Caenorhabditis elegans: one gene and its partner. The protein of the gene in region 1 interacts with the protein of each later gene in a pairwise test. Each region holds a gene or a part of one and is shown on either strand. Other genes may lie near its edges.

Evidence for each region. The genes of interacting proteins can lie anywhere in the genome.
Region 2: the proteins of lsy-27 (region 1) and Y51H4A.8 interact in a two-hybrid assay, tested with the Caenorhabditis elegans proteins (one large-scale study listed by BioGRID).

The regions. Positions count from the first base shown.
Region 1 is NC_003283.11:17,346,756-17,354,076, reverse strand, and holds lsy-27 (Zinc finger protein lsy-27), read left to right. Parts: upstream 1-3,883; 5' UTR 3,884-4,015; coding exon 4,016-4,082; intron 4,083-4,505; coding exon 4,506-5,119; intron 5,120-5,175; coding exon 5,176-5,247; 3' UTR 5,248-5,412; downstream 5,413-7,321. Other genes in the region: F47H4.2 (DUF38 domain-containing protein), read right to left, coding at 1-638, 691-704; fbxa-134 (DUF38 domain-containing protein), read left to right, coding at 1,207-1,220, 2,385-3,078, 3,451-3,690; skr-5 (Skp1-related protein), read right to left, coding at 5,515-5,646, 5,799-6,047, 6,099-6,155; fbxa-189 (F-box domain-containing protein), read right to left, coding at 6,368-6,559, 6,607-7,240, 7,287-7,321. UniProt on the Caenorhabditis elegans protein: Involved in regulating left/right asymmetric differentiation of the gustatory ASE neurons. Plays a role in modulating expression of LIM/homeobox protein lim-6.
Region 2 is NC_003282.8:16,572,409-16,581,540, reverse strand, and holds Y51H4A.8 (DUF4136 domain-containing protein), read left to right. Parts: upstream 1-2,991; 5' UTR 2,992-3,025; coding exon 3,026-3,235; intron 3,236-3,331; exon of another isoform or gene 3,332-3,352; intron 3,353-3,538; exon of another isoform or gene 3,539-3,560; intron 3,561-3,783; exon of another isoform or gene 3,784-3,807; intron 3,808-4,030; exon of another isoform or gene 4,031-4,052; intron 4,053-4,153; exon of another isoform or gene 4,154-4,235; intron 4,236-5,768; exon of another isoform or gene 5,769-5,789; intron 5,790-5,912; exon of another isoform or gene 5,913-5,933; intron 5,934-6,042; coding exon 6,043-6,393; 3' UTR 6,394-6,447; downstream 6,448-9,132.

The DNA of each region.
Region 1 (7,321 bases):
GTTCCAAGTATGTCAAAAAATTTATCATCCTAAATTCCTTTCCATTGAGCCACTGCTCCAATGCAACGAAAGTGCTCAGATTCAAATAAATTCCCGGCATAGGAGTGCTCAGGATTATTGAATATAGGAATTGAGGTTTCAAATATGACATTATGATTGCAGCGTGATTGTTGAATGGTTCCTGCCATAAGTGTACTTCAAAAATGTGAGCTTTCAGTGGTTTCTGTCGAGATGCCAACATTCTGCTCAGAATTTCTAAGAAAATTGAATTTGTCCGAAGATCCTGGTCGGTGGGTATTTTTTTGTCTTGTGATTTTTCAACCGAAATCAAGGAGAACTTCTTGAGCACATCCATAGTACTAAGTGCATGCTCCAGGTGCAAAACGGAAACATCAAAAAACTCCAGGCGGTCCACAAACTCTTGTTGGTCATGATTCTCAATCACGCATCCATTGTCTCTTTCTCTATAAGCAATCCACACATTTTTCACCTCAACTTCCCCAGAATCCAAAGTTGTTTCAGTTTCCAATATCAATTTTATCTGATCTTCTCCAATTTCCAATCGAACATCTACAAATTGGGACGCATCGAATTGGTCTATTGAAGATTGTAGGATTTGGGACCGGTTAACGACAAGACTGAGAAAGAAGTATTTTAGGTGTGTTTTATTGGTATTAAACAATAACTTACTCATCCTGTGACATGCTTCTTGCAGATGTTTCCAAGTTGCCTTACGGTAGTTCCAATAATAGCTGAATAAAATTAAATGCATATGTAGTAAGCCTGGTCAAACAAAATTTCCAAAACGTTTTCCATTTAAAATAAAATAATCAAGTAAAATTATAAAAAATATAAAAATTTTGGGCCAGGTATACTGCGTAGTACATAAAATTGATACTCTTGTCAGTCAAATGAAATTTCGGACTGAACGAAATTTAAGAATGAGAAATATAAACGCTGCTGTTTACGCAAAGAAGGTAAAAAACTGATACGAGTACGGCATGGCACGTACATAATCACTGTTGATAACTGAATTATGTTGGATGTAAATCAATGTATGACAATCGCATGTGCAAAATAGTTTTCTTATCATGGAAGCGCAGAAGACTAGAACAGTGGACACTTTGAAAGTGGAGTACTAAATTTGTTTTTGAAAGCTTACTTTATTTTTTTTGCACATAGTACGGAGAGAGTTCATATCAAAAGATGGCTAGTGAAATGTAAGTTGTTTACAGTTCACAGCGACCTAGAGCAAGAATCGCGAACAAAATAATTTTGAAAGTTCGCAATGGGGCGAACTTGCATTGTTCATTTTTTACCGTTGAAACTATCAATCAGTTGTTTTCTATGGACTATCTTTGCACGGGGTTCTGGCTCGACCCCTCGGTGTATTTTGTGCAAACACCGTCACGCGCAAATGCATACACTTTTTCAACGCGCTGCGTGAAAATTCCTCTTGCGATTTCAAAAAAAATTTCCCGCCATTTCAGTGTCCAATGGAGCGCGGGGTCGAGTCAGAACCTCGTGTCTTTGAAAGAAAAAGAAATTTAACTTCGTTTTGCAGGCAATTTTGGAATGATAAATATTTAAAATATCAATTTAAAAAATAATTTTGAAAATCCGGCCAGTATTGACGGAGCCTTAGGCATTTTCCCAAAAAATGAAGAAAGTCTTGATGTAAATATTCACCAAAATCTTGAATTTTAGTTTTTAAAAAAACAAGCTGTGAGGAGTGTGCGGTTTCTGATAATAACGTTTAAAGTAGTTTATTAAATATTCTGAGAAAATTTATTGATTACTTCAAGCATAATGGTCTAAAACAGGCACAAATTTGAAAAACCCTACTTTCGTTTTTATTTTCAATTATTTCTCATTTTCAGTACTGTACAATCTAAAAATTCAATTTTCATAGCAAAAGGACAAAAATAACAGCAATTGGACACATTTTGAGAAAAATTTAGTAGGATAAACATTGAAATAGAGCAATATTTTTCTGTGAAATCTAAAAATTACCATGATTTGAAAGTATTATGATGCATTTTACAAAATAGAAGATCCATAATGTTTGTTTTATTTCCGATAAACACCCTGCCATCAGTTTTTTGTTGTTTACTAGGAAAAAAGCGAAATATGCGTTCTTTGTATTTTTTGAACTGAAAATTACAACGATATATTTAATAAATCTACTGGAATGTGTTTTTCTGATAAATATTTCCTTATTCACCCAAAATTATCGATGAAAAACAGGAAATAAACACTGTCAAAGTTTCACTTTTGATGCAGAATGCAAGCGCGCCCCACTGCACACTTCAGATTCTCATTGGCTGAAAATTCGTGCGCTAGGTCGCTGTGCAGTTTTACTTATAACTTCTGCAAGTATACAGACCGTCTTCACAACTATCGCAAATATTATCTGCCATACTATCCAAACTACAAACCGCCAGAGATGTATCTCTACTCATTAAAATAGAACAAAATGAAATTAAAATTTCCTTCTATGCAAAAGCCACTGGCATAACTTTTGCTGAACTAATCAGTAGAGGAACTCCAAATGGATGCTTCATCAAGTGGGATGATATTGAGGAACTTGCAGATGGCCGGGAGTTTTTTGAGACTTCAGTAGCTCATTTGGAAATTATACTAGAGTCTTGGCCGCAGCGTATCTCGGTTTTATCAATATACTCGGGCCAGGGCGCCGAGGAAATAAAGGAGAACATTCTGAGAACTCATGAGCTATTCCTTTACAACTTTGGAGAAATGCTCAAATCACGAAAGTTTCTTCTGAAAGTAGCAGCTTTTGATGTAATACTATGGAAGGAACCATTGAACAATCACCTGTCAACTATCATGTCATGCCTTGACCCGAGATTCCTGGTAACTATAGTCCTGAGCTCTTCAGATGAAGGAGCTAGAGTCGATTGTGAGCAATTGGTAAACATGGAGCAATGGAAAAGTGCAAGACGAATAAAAATGGATGGCATTGAAGTGACAATGTCGATTCGGGATTTTTTGCGCTTTGATGAAGCGATAACGACACTACATACAATTACTAGTGACGACCTGGTTCTGTTGAAAGATGTAAGTTTCTGTGTCTGCCGGCTCTTAAGTGCGACGTTTTTATCCAAAACAGTCTTGAAATCCCTATAGGTTCAATGATACTTATGTGGGTGCGAGTCATCTTACACAGCGTCCGACGTTTTCAGAGTTTAGCGACTCCACAGAGATCTTAATTTATAAGAGTAAAAGTTCATATCATTGAAGCCTGCGCAAGTATCCATAGGACCCAATTGAACCCAAATTCTGATCAGATATTCAACAAGACAAAGGTTAAAGCCAAAACCGAGTAACATTTTTTTTTTGGAATAAATCTAGTACCGGGCCCGAAGTTTAGCCCATTAGAAACACATCAGAATCCCCACAAGACCAATTCTATCTCCCTACCTTTTTCAGCACTTCATACACAACCAAAATCCAAAGTCTCTCACATTGAATTTTCAAAACTTTGTCAGTTCAGACCAAAACAATGAAGATCAGGCTCATGAGGTATTGGGAACTTGCGATGAGATCAAGTATGTGAACGGCAAGCTGAGTAGCAAAAAATGGCGGTTTCTAATTGAAAGATCTCATTTCTCTATTGAATATTTTCAGATTGAATTTAAAAATTCCCAGTTTAAATTTTCTCGGTTATGATTATGACTATCAAATTTGAATAAAAATGTTTTAAAAATACACCGTTATTTTGTTATTTTTCTCTGGCGTTACTTGGTAGATCATTTTCTGCATTTGACCTCCCAACTTCCCACAGCATTGCCTCCTCAATTCGTGAGATCAATGACTCTTCTTTCTGAATTTGACCTACTCTCCCCCCGCAACATTACTTCTTCCCCTCTCCCCTTCTCCACAACGCGAACAACACATCCCGCGTTATCGATTAGTTTGGTGCAGCGTTTGCCTGTCCTTTTACAGCTAACCAGTCAGTTAGTTAGTCATTCGACAAATCTACTCTCATCTAAACATGACGTCTATTCACAGTCCAGTCACCCGCAAGGAGGACACCGAGCTCAAGAGACCAGATCTCAGAGGTTAGTTTTTAAAAAATTATTTTTTGTAACTTTTTTTGCAAATGCGCAAAACTGGCTTGTTTCAACAACTTTTTAAATCGAAAATTAATGTATAAATGTAGAAAACGGGTTGTTCTATCAGAAAATATTTTTTATTTTTGTTAAAAAGCTTGAAAAAGTTCTCAAATAGTGCCTGAAACTAGCCGTTTACCAAAAAAACGTTTCACGGCGCCCTTTCGGGAAACTGCAACTTTCAAGCACTATTAAAGGTCTTTTTCGCATTTTGCAACAAACAAGAAATTTATTTTCAGATAGAAAACCCAATATTAGATCACAAAAATTGGATTATCATGTTGAAATGAGCCGGTTTTGCTCATTTTCCAACAAAAAAAATGCCGCACAGCCTTGCCTTGTATTGGAAGCTGCAATTAATCTATATTCCAGGCAAATTCGTCTGCTCCTCCTGCTCCCAAAACTTCCAACACAGTGCCTCCCTGAACCGTCATCGTCAGCTGATGCACAGCAACGAGCACACTTGTATGATGTGCGAGCGGGCTCTTAACCAAAAAGAGACTATCCGTGAGCACATGAGAAATGAGCACAACCTGGCTCAAGTGTTCACTTGTGGCTGTTGCAATTGGACTTTCGCCAGCAAGAGACAACTCACGGAGCACACAAAGTGCATTCAGGGAACTGGAGCTCCAGGAGACACCATTCCAATCGCCAAGTCCATTAATGCACCAGGATCACTTATTCAGTCGACAATCCAAGGAACTCCACCAGTGGTGAAAACCGGTCGCAAACGTCCCATGGGAGGTTCGTTGTCGCCGTCATCTTCCGTCTCCACATCCATCTCTTCCCGTGATGCCTCCGGATCGCCTCCACCAACTGAAGAAGAAGCCGAGCGCAAGGTGCTCTTTGACAACGCAGTCGACACTATTCTACAGAGCAAGTTCTTCACTTATCAGCAGATCACTGAAGTCGACACTTGGGTCAAAATCATCGAAAGTGCTAATACTCTTGCTGACACACTCCAACGCATCAAGAAATCACAGAAGGTAAGCAGTAGAGTAATCCGTGGATAAAAATAAAATTTAAATCAATAATTTTTCAGGTCAAAGCAGAAGGGCCAGCCGTCGAGAGCAAGATGATTCCAGAGAAGCACGTCAAGCAGGAAATTGAGTAACTATTTTATTTCCTATTTTAACTCCCTATTCAACTGATGTTCAGTTTTATCATTTTGTTTCATAGCAATATTGAGTGTCTTCACAGTATTGTTAATTCTACCTCACTTTCTTCAATTTTTCATTTTTAACGATTCATTTTTTTTCAATACACGATTGTTTTATAATAGGCAGATTTCGAAAAACTGTTCGTTAGAAAAAAGATAACAGAGGAAAACATTTAAAAAAATGCTACTTTTAACATTGACGGGGCAAATTTGGTCTTGAAGTTATTCCATATTAGTTTCGTTACCCAAGTTGAAAACGGCACGAATTTCTTCAGGAGATTTTCCTTTAATAGAGTTGGCAATACTTTTACAAGTAACATTAAAAAGACCTTTGATATCCAAATAAGTGGCTGCCTGAAAGAAGGTGACGATTACAGAAATGCATTTTATGGGGTTATTCAAATAGGCTGGGAAAATTTTAAAAAAATGTATAAATTATGTAACAACTGTATTCACATAAATTTTGCAACATTACTTGAATAACCCCTTGAAAGTTGACTACTTACCAGCACCAATTCGAACAAAGTACCTTTGTCAACTTTAAGAAACTCGACATCCCATTCACCAATATCGTCCGTTCGCTTTTCTTCCACATTGTCTGGCGGTTTGGGGATATCTTCAGCATGATACTCACACCATTCGATAACTTTCTTGAAAATCTCAGAGGTGACATTTTTCAATGGAATTGGTTCGCGCTGATTCAATACAACAAAATCAGCGAGAAGCTTGGATTGATTGGCAATTTTCGGAGAAACCTGACGCAAAAAATTAAATCTCTGTACTAATAGTAAGTCAATAAAACCTACAATGAACTCTACATCATCAGAAGTAACAATTTTGACATCTTGCTCTTCGCTGCTCATCGTTAGTTGTTGATTGAAAAAAAAACTGAATGAAAAGAGGGTTACAGGCCTTTTTATGAGACCAGCAGGGTCTTATCAATTTTGATGTACGTGACTAATACTCTTCCACAACCATCTTAAATCAATTTTACGACAACAAATTTCATAACCGCCCAACAAATTTATTATGGAACCATGCTTAAATTGAGAAAAAAGTTTTCGAATAGATATATTCAAGAAATTCTAATAGTTTCAAAGTTCATTGTATCAAATTGAATTCTGAACTCCGACTCCTCATTCCTGTATGTAATCGAACCAGACGATCCTCCTGAATAATTCTGCTCAAACACGTTCAAAATGTCTATAGGATCATAATTGAACATTCGGAAGCATCCATGTTCAAAATCACTGGACTTCAGCAGTTTCTATAATAATTCTTTGAATAAAAATGCTATAGTTGATATTTGCTCACCTCTCGGATCAATATTGCATCTGACTTTGATAGAGATTTCAGGGAAACATCAAATCTCGAGAAGTGAAACAAATTCTCAATTGGAATCGTCATAATACAGTTCCGACTGCTTTCAAAATTTTTTGCCTCTTTCCATTGTCTCATATCAACCAACTTCTCAATATCGGCGTTATCAGTTGGCGAGCCCAGCACAATCTCTTGCAGTATTCCTGATTTAAAATTCCGAAGTATCTTAGCAACTTCACTGAATGAAAATCCCTCTAGTGTGATCTTCTCTATGTATGAACAGTTTGAATTTCTCAAAACCGTGTTCATAGTTTTATAGATTTTCTGATGGTCGCTCTTTTCGACTGATATGAATAATTGGAACACTTTCAGCTTAAGCTTTTTATTTTTCATGACCACGGACCAATCATTCAAAGCTGTTATTGCATAGTTTCCACTTTTCACAAGCTTTTCTTGATCATCATATAACACGTTACAGTTGTCCTTCCTGTCCAGATAGATTATTTCGTTTTCATCAAATTGCAAAATTGATTTTGTATTGTAGATTTTCAGACTAATTTTCTCAACGTCAATGCTCAGGTTGTCCATGAAGTGGCGAAGATTTTTAGAGACTTTTCGCATCACTAGTCTGAAAAGTTTTTTTTGATAAATTTACACATTGATATCAAGCACACTTTTCTTTTAATCCCAGTTTGTTCATTATTTCCCC
Region 2 (9,132 bases), on another chromosome or scaffold:
AAATCAAATACTTTGTATGCGTAGAGGTATAAGACAGTTAGTTAAACAAAACTGAAAAATTTCAGACTCAGGCATAGCTTATTGGTAGCGCTACATCTGTTTAAAGTGCCTAAAACGCTTGCAAAATTGACTTTTTTATGTTTAAGCAGTGCTAACTTTTAAACCATGAGAGATATACAAAAGTAATGTATTACAACATTAATGTACACATCATCAGCTACATTTTATCAGTATGTTACATTGTTGTCCCTCCTCACGTTTCTGAGTTACAGTTGATAGAAGTGAGCTTGGTCCAATTTTCAAAAAACCCTAATTTTCACGTTTTCGCCTGTAACTCCGAAATCAGGCGTCTAATTAAAAACTTCAAATTAAAAATTAAGTGATTTTAAATTATAATCGGGTTCACAGTTGACCGTTTTGTCATATCTCATATGTGGGCAAAGATATGAATTGTCAAAGAAAAGTTGCGGAAATTTTAGAAAATTTTCAAAAAAAAACATCGAAAAAAAATCCAACAGTTTTTTTTACAAGATAACCTCTAACTGTTTTTTGATTATGATAGCCTAATTAGTAATCAAAATATTAAATGTGTTTTTAAACGCTCATGTTCTTTTCGGAAAGAGTAAAACAGTTTTTTGCAATATTTTTCTATATTTTTTCGATCATGCATTTTTTGTTTGTTGACCGTTCATATCTTTGCCCACATATGATATGACAAAACGGTCAACTGTGTACCTGATTATAATTTAAAATCACTTTATTTTTAATTTGAAGTTTTTTAATCAGGCACCTGATTTCGGAGTTACAGGCGAAAACGTGAAAAATTAGGGTTTTTTGAAAATTGGACCAAGCTCATTTCTATCGACTGTAACTCAGAAACGTGAGGAGGGACAACAATGTAACATACTGATAAAATGTAGCTGATGATGTGTACATTAATGCTGTGATACATTACTTTTGTATATCTCTCATGGTTTAAAAGTTAGCACCGCTCAAACATGAAAAAGTCAATTTTGCAAGCGTTTTCGACACTTCCAACAGATGTAGCGCTACCAATAAGCTATGCCTGGTTCTGAAATGTTTTAGTTTTGTTTAACTAACTGTCTTATACCTCTACGCATACAAAGTTTTTGATTTCACAAAGAAATGAAAAAATTCGAAAAAAAATTTTTTTTTCGTCATCATAGTTCTGAGTTTTAAATAATCTGGAAGTTGACCGATATGGCTGATATTGTTGGGCTTGTTATTACTAACAGTCTTCTATACAACCGCAAAATATTATCCAAGAAAAAACCAAAACTAGAAAAAAACGAAAAAACTTATTGAACGACCTAATAATCAAATTTGGGCAAAATCTCTTAAGTTGGAGTAGTGACCGCACCGAACATTAACCTATTGCGTTAAATCGATTTATCAGTTATTTGAAATTGTTTTAAATAAAAAATATTTTTAAATCGTGTCCATTCAGATTATTTGCAGTTGCCTATATCAGCATAGTGACACAGTCAGAAATTTTTTGTGTTAACACAATGTAGCGAGAATGGTTGTAAGGCAAATATAATCATGATTTGTACTATGGAATACAACAATTCTACAGAAAAATTGTACTTATAAAAATTATGTTTCACAATATTTATATTGCGTCACTGATATTTTAGTTATTATTTCAGAACTTTTTCATGAGAAAGATCTTAAAATTTCAATGATATGATTCAAAACAATTAATTTAAAACATTAAATTCAAAAAAAGTAAAACTATTCAAAACTTTTTTTGAAAATGTTGTTTATTTTATTTCAAAAATGGCAACCATTCTGTTAGGCACTTATTTGGAAATCGTTGAAAAAAAAATGTTTTCCTCCGAATTTTATGTTTCAAACGGTAATATTCAATTATTTTAGGGATAGTTTTCTTTAAAAGTGGCAAAAACTTAATAATTGGCGCTTTTCGGAAAAAAAAAATTTTCTAAAATTTTTATTGTTTCAACATGCTTTTATTATACTCTTTGTAAATTGGGTTTTATTCATACGCTCAAATTGTATTTTGGTAATTAAAAAAATTGAAACGTAACCAGGAAATTAATATCTGCCAGAAGTAGTCAAATGTAAGCAAAACCTCTTAAGTTGGAATAGTGACTATGGTGGTTTTTACAGAAAACTGTCTTGTTATAGGAAAAAAATCTAATAGTAACACAATGGTTTAAAAGAAAGCATCTACATTTTTTTAAAGGTAAAACTTTTTGAAAAAAAATTGGATTTTTAAAAATTCACTGTAAAAAGTGACTATTACTCAAATTTTGCCACTCATAATTTTATAAGTCGATCAAAAAAAAACTTCCTACAATTTTTTTTGCCAAAACTTTGACTGGAAGTTGTAAAAAATTTGAGTTTTTTGGAGTGTTTTTTTAAATGATATCCCCACTGGCGCTACTCCTCCATCAATGACTTTAAAAATTGATAAGAAATCGAAAAATCTGAATTTCGAAATTTACCGTTTCACCGCGTGCGTATAAAACTTTTCATCACATTTTGATCTATTTCTGATAGTGATCCGCTTTCAAACGTGTAAAACAATTTAAAATTAAACCAGAAGCTTCCGATAAAAGTATAATCAATAATAGGCTCCACCTATTTTTGGATTTTCATTGTATTTAAAGTTTTCAAATCGAATCCAGGAACAAAATCTTCAAAATTTGCAACAAAAAAAAAATTCAGTTTCAGCCTTCAAACAAATTTTAGTAACGGCTGTTTGACAATTTTTCGATCTTTGGGTTTCAAATTTTTACGAGTTCCCTTTTACCCCCGCTTAGTATGCTTTACCTATTCTTACTGTTGGCACACCCACCCACAAGAAAAAGTGTTAACAATCAGTAATAAAATGATGCCATAACTATGACAAATATAAACATTTTTGGCAAATCGAAACAAACATAAGCTATTGTGGGGCAAAGGTTAAGGAAACGGTATAAAAAAGGATTGAGGTAAGGTTTAAACTTCACTTTTAACTTTTGTGATTTGAACCTTCAAAATGCTTAAAATTCTACTGCTCCTCTGCTTTTTCATCTCCACAGCCGGAGCCTGTGCTCCGGGTACCGGAACGCTGGGCTCCAAGGGAACATTCAGCTATGAAATGAACCCTCCTGCTCTATACACCTATGATTCTCTAGCAGAATTTGAAAACGGACAGTTTGATCAAGCCTATGCTCAGCGAGTTGTGGTGTCGGATGTGCAGAGTGCGGTGAGTTAAATGCAATTTTAAATAAAAATCCCAATACAGAAAAAATTTCTACTGTTTCACAAAATTTTTATGAACAGCTACAGTTTTCTTTGGAGTTCGTATAATTGCATTTATTAAAAGTCCAATTATTAAATGTCCAACTATGGTGGTGGATAATTTTGCCAAATTTATAAAAGAATGTGAAATGGCAACACATCGCATAATGTTTAACGGTTGCATTATTATTTGAAAAAAATTTGAAATTCTCAGAAGCTTTATAAATTCTAGTCTAGTTTTGATGAAAAGCCATATATTTTCTTAATTTCCATCAAGCCAGCCTATTCAATAAAAAGCGATTCATAAAAAGTTTAATGAAATACTTTTGAAACATTAAAAATTTTATTGAAATTTTCTTTTTTTTTTCGAAAAGTGCCAATTACTACGTTTTTGCCACTTTTAAAGAAAAGTATAGCATATTCCAATCTCTACAATAATTGAAAAAAAACCCATAAGTGGGCCATAAAATTCGGAGGCAATTTTTTTTTTGACGAAAACAATAATAATAACTTTTTAGGCACCGTAGAGTTGAAACACTCCCTAGTAAGATAACAGTGAGCTAATAAGAATATTATAAAACATACTTTTTTACAAATAAAATTTTTACGTTTTATTGAAAATTTATTTTGTAGAAACATGTTATATTCTATAGTACAAATGCATGATTATATTACAATCTTTCTATTTTCATTGTGTTAACACAAAAAATTCTCACTGTTTCACTATACTGATATAGCCAATTGCAAATAATCGAAATAATTCTGTTCTCTCCTAGAAACTGATAAATCACTCAAAAGCGACATACTAGGTGCGCGGTCAATGAGTTAAAAAATTTATTTAAAAGCCTGTAGATTTAATTCGGAATATTTTCCAAAAAGTATTCGCTGCGAGCAGGATTTGAACCTACGCGGGCAATGCCCATTGGATTTCAAGTCCAACTCCTTAACCGCTCGGACATCGCAGCCCGGTTTCGGAGAGCTGGTTGGGGTGTTTTCGTTACCGCAAATGGCTGTGTTGTTCGCACATTTTGAGCGGAGAAATGACTGAAAAAAGTATGCTGAAAGAGAAGAGCCTAGAGATGTGTCTACCTACCACTAAATCTATTTTGTTATCACTTTTGAATTATTTTTTTTAGAGATAACAATCTGAAACATTAATTTTTGAAATAAACCACAAAGTATCAGGTTGTCCCATAAGTTTTTGTACTTTTTTTCAAATATTTTTCCAAAACTTCTAGAAAGTTTTAAAATTTTTTCATCGTAGGTCGTGTCAAGGTCGGGTCGTCCCCTTCCAGAAAAGATTCATTTCATCCATTTCTACTTTGCCACGATGACAATCATCAAACTTGAACGTCGAGACGTTAGATTGCTTCTTCTTTATGAATTTCGTCTTGGTCATTCAGCAATGAAAGCGGAACGAAACATATGCGGTGCGATGGGTGAGGGAGCACTCTCTTATAATACAGCAAAGAGTTGGTTTCAAAAGTTCAAGAACGGCGACTTCAGTCTCGAAGAAATAGAACGTTCTGGGCGACCGGTAGAGTTAAATGAAGAAGACCTAGTGAAGCTGGTGGAGGAAGAGCCTCGTCTTAGTCTTCGTGAAATGGAAGAGAAGCTTGAGTGTTGTCATAGCACAATTGCACGTCACTTGGGTCGCCTTGGTTTTACTTCAAAACTTGGAATTTGGGTGCCTCATGAACTTTCGGCATCACAGAAGCTCACTCGGGTCAACGTTTGTACTCAACTTCTAACTTTTCGTCGAAAGTTCGATTGGCTGAACAATCTGGTTACTGGAGATGAGAAGTGGGTGCTCTATGTTAACCATTCCAGAAAACGTCAATGGCTTCCGATCGGTGAGAAAGGAATACCGACGCCAAAGCCTGATCTTCACCCAAAAAAGATAATGATCTGTGTCTGGTGGGGTGTTCAAGGACCCGTGCACTGGGAATTGTTGCCAACTAATAAAACTATCACTGCTGATTACTATTGTGCCCAATTGGACCGAGTTGCAGAAAAGACCAACGGAAAATATGAAAAACTATATTTTCTTCACGATAATGCTATGCCTCATGTCGCCAAGAAGACTTTCCAAAAGCTGCAAGATCTTGGTTGGACTGTTTTACCGCATCCACCATATTCTCCAGATCTTGCACCAACCGACTACCATTTGTTCTTGTCTCTCAGTGACTACATGCGCGACAAGCAATTCGACGACGAAGAGCATCTCAAAACTGAACTCTCCACTTTCTTCTCATCGCGTTCGCCGGATTTCTTCTCCCGTGGCATCATGATGTTACCTAGTAAATGGCAACAAGTGGTGGACACTAATGGTGAATACTTGTGTGAATAGTACTACTTGTCGCTTGAGAGAAATAAATTTTTTTCAAAAAAAAAAATAGTACAAAAACTTATGGGACAACCTGATATTTATACCCATTATCAATAAAAAAAAACTGTTTCAAATATTTCATTTTTCAGGTTGTATAAAATTAATTCGTTTGTCGATCTTTTGAATTCTTTTTTAAAGATAAATAAGTCTGAAACATTAAGTTTCAAAATAAGCCACAAAGTATTTATACCCATTATCAAAAAAAAACTGTTTCAAATATTTCATTTACCAGATTATATTTCGGAGAGCTTGCTAAAATTTGTCCATACGAACCAAAAAAAATTATCTGCTCAAAACTTGTATAATAATGGAACCAAGTAGAGCGCTAAAACACTAAAAACACTATACAATACCAAAAAAGTTTAAAAATTCAAAAAATTCAGATCAACGACGTATTGCAAGCCAACAGTATCCCCCTAAACGACATAAACCCACCAGTCATCACATTCTCGCCTCCAAACGTCACACTTACTACAGTAACCGAGTGCACCGCCGACACCGCGGGTTACGGTGTTCTACAACAATCCACAGTCTACTATAAGTGTGCAGCGAAGGCTGGAACCGATGGAAAATACGCGAAAAGTCCGTTTGTTGTCCCTTTGACCGTTCAAGTGACCGCGATTTCTGCAATTTATGAGAGCCAGTGGAAGATGTTGGCTTCTCAGATGGCGGACAAGTTGACGACGAAGAGAGGAGCACAGTTTTATACAGATCCTATTGTTACTGTTGGTTAATTGGTTTTTTTTCTTTTTGTGGATTTGAAATAAAATTATATTAACAGCGAGAATTTTTTACATGTATTGAAGTTTGAACATGGGATTTGATCTGGCCGTACAGAATAGAATACGGAAAAAGTTGAAAATACTTTAACGTTATTTGAAACAGGGAAACATAAAGTTTTTATGGGCGTTGAAAGCGAAAAATTAAAAGTTGATCTGATTTTGAGAATTCAAATTTTTGACTGTTTCATTAACATCACTTAAGATGTGCATTATTTTGATTCAGTATTGAATGATATGCCAGATCACTGCAACTTTTTTCGAACGAGGGCCGAGAAAAAATGCGAAAAATCGGTGTTTGCACACAATACACCGCATTTTACGACATTTTGTACTTGCTTTGTTTTCTTGTGTTTTTCACCGATTTTTCCCGTGTTTTCTTATTAAAACTGATAAATAAATATTTTTGTTAATGCTAAAATAATTTCCAGATGAAAAAAATTGTGAATTCAGTCGGCAAGTAGCGGTAAAAGTGGTCAATGTAATATGATGGATTACGGGAATAAAAAACCCAAACTTTTTCCCAAACATGATACATATGATGTTTAGATGCTGAAAGTACCTGATTATCATAACGAGACCGCTGAAAAAGTTTTGAGATTTTCAAAATTCAACTTTTTTTGTGAAAATCTCTACACCAAAAAAGTTGAATTTTGAAAACCTCAAAACTTTTTCAGCGGTCTCGTTATGAAAATCAGGTACTTTTAGCATCTAAACAGCATATGTATCATGTTTGGGAAAAAGTTTGGGTTTTTTATTCCCGTAATCCATCATATTACATTGACCATTTTTACCGCTACTTGCCGACTGAATTCACAATTTTTTCACTTGAAAATTGGTTTAGCATCTGCAAAAAATATTTATTTATTAGTTTTGATAAGAAAAAACGGGAAAAATCGGTGAAAAACGAAAGAAAACACGCAGAAAACAAAGCAAGATAAATGGCCGCTGAAATTTGTCAGGGACTCGGCCATAGCCTAGAAACCTTTTTGCCTCGTCCCTCGTTCGAAAAAAGTTGCAGTGCAGATTTCATATTTATAAAAATAAGAGCGGATGTGTTTGGCAATGGTCTGTAATGTAATCTGTAATGTTAGACAATATGGTTTAACAGGAATTTATTTTTGAGAAAAAATAGGTATTGCGTCTTATATGCACGCAAGTTTTCAAAAGATTATTTTGTTTATTTTTTTGTCTGGGAAGTTATAACTTTACAGTAAGATAATACATGAATTCCAACCACATTTTTGCAAATATGCTTAGTTCCGGAAACACGACATTTATTTTTTAAAAATATAAGGAAAATTCAATCACTAATTTTTTATCTTCTCAAGATTTAGCCAAAATAAACTTTACTGTTGCATTATCAACATTTTAAGAGTTTCACGATGTTAGTTCATTTTTCTCATCATTGGAAAGGTAAAAACATTAGTTTTCAGCCAAAAAAAACAAAAAATATATTCAGGCCTTGGCTGAACGTGGCTTAAAAATTTAGATTTTAATCTAAAAAAAACATCTGGATTCCGTCCCAGAATATATAATTAAAGGTTAAATCGATTTAATTGTTTATGAAAATAAGAGCTGCTATGTTCTGTAATGGAGCGAAATATGGTTTTACAGGGATTTATTAGCTGAAAATATATAAGGAGCACGTCATTAATTAATAAATGCCAACCCCATTTTTGCAAATATGCATAGTTCCGGAAACATGTCATTTATTTTTTTCAAAAATATAAGGAAAATTCAATCACTAATGTTTTATCTTCTCAAGATTTAGCCAGTGATTCGCAGTTGATCATTTATAAAAATTTTTTTACTGTTTCATTATCAACATTTTAAGAATTTCACGATCAGTTCCATTGCTTCCGTTCCATTGCTAGTTTTGATTTTTAATTAAAAAAATTTCGATCACGCTTTGCAAAGAGAAAAACATTACTTTTTAGAAACAAGAACATCAAAAAAATTCAGACCCTGGTCTAAAAATTTAGATTGTAACCTAAAAAAACATCTGGATTCCGTCCCAGAATATAGAATTAGAGGTTAAATCGATTTAATATTTATGAAAATTAGAGCGGCTATGTTCTATAATGGAACAAAATATGGTTTTACAGGTATTTATTTACTTGCTGAAAATAATAAGGAGCAAGGTATTAATTTTTCTTTAAATATCTGAAAAATCTGATCCCATTTTCACTAATGTTTCACCACCCCGATAAAGAATTTGACATTAATTCGCAATTGATGTATTCCTTATACTTAGCGAACCCTGAAGTTTTGAAAACATTCTTAATTTATTTCCAAAATATTGCAGAGTTTACAGTTTTTGGATGAAGCCGTTCGTAGAGAGGTTAACTTTAAAATCAGTAATTTTTCACAATTCACAAATAATTTTTTCTGATATATGTCGGATTTTTTTTTGAAAAATCGGAAAAAAAAATTAAAATAACGAGTTGAGGACAGATTACACAAGTTTATAAAACTTTTATATAGGAGAGGACCTATCACACAAAAATATACTACAATTATTAAATCGAGATAGTGAAACAGTCAAATATTTCCACATTAGGAACAGTTTATTTTTATCAAACAACAAATTTATCAGTATAGTTTTAAAGTAGATTATTGTATCGAGCACTAAAAATAAAAACACTTGTAATGTATTGAAACAGGGGATAACAAAAGGTTTTTCCGGCTGTG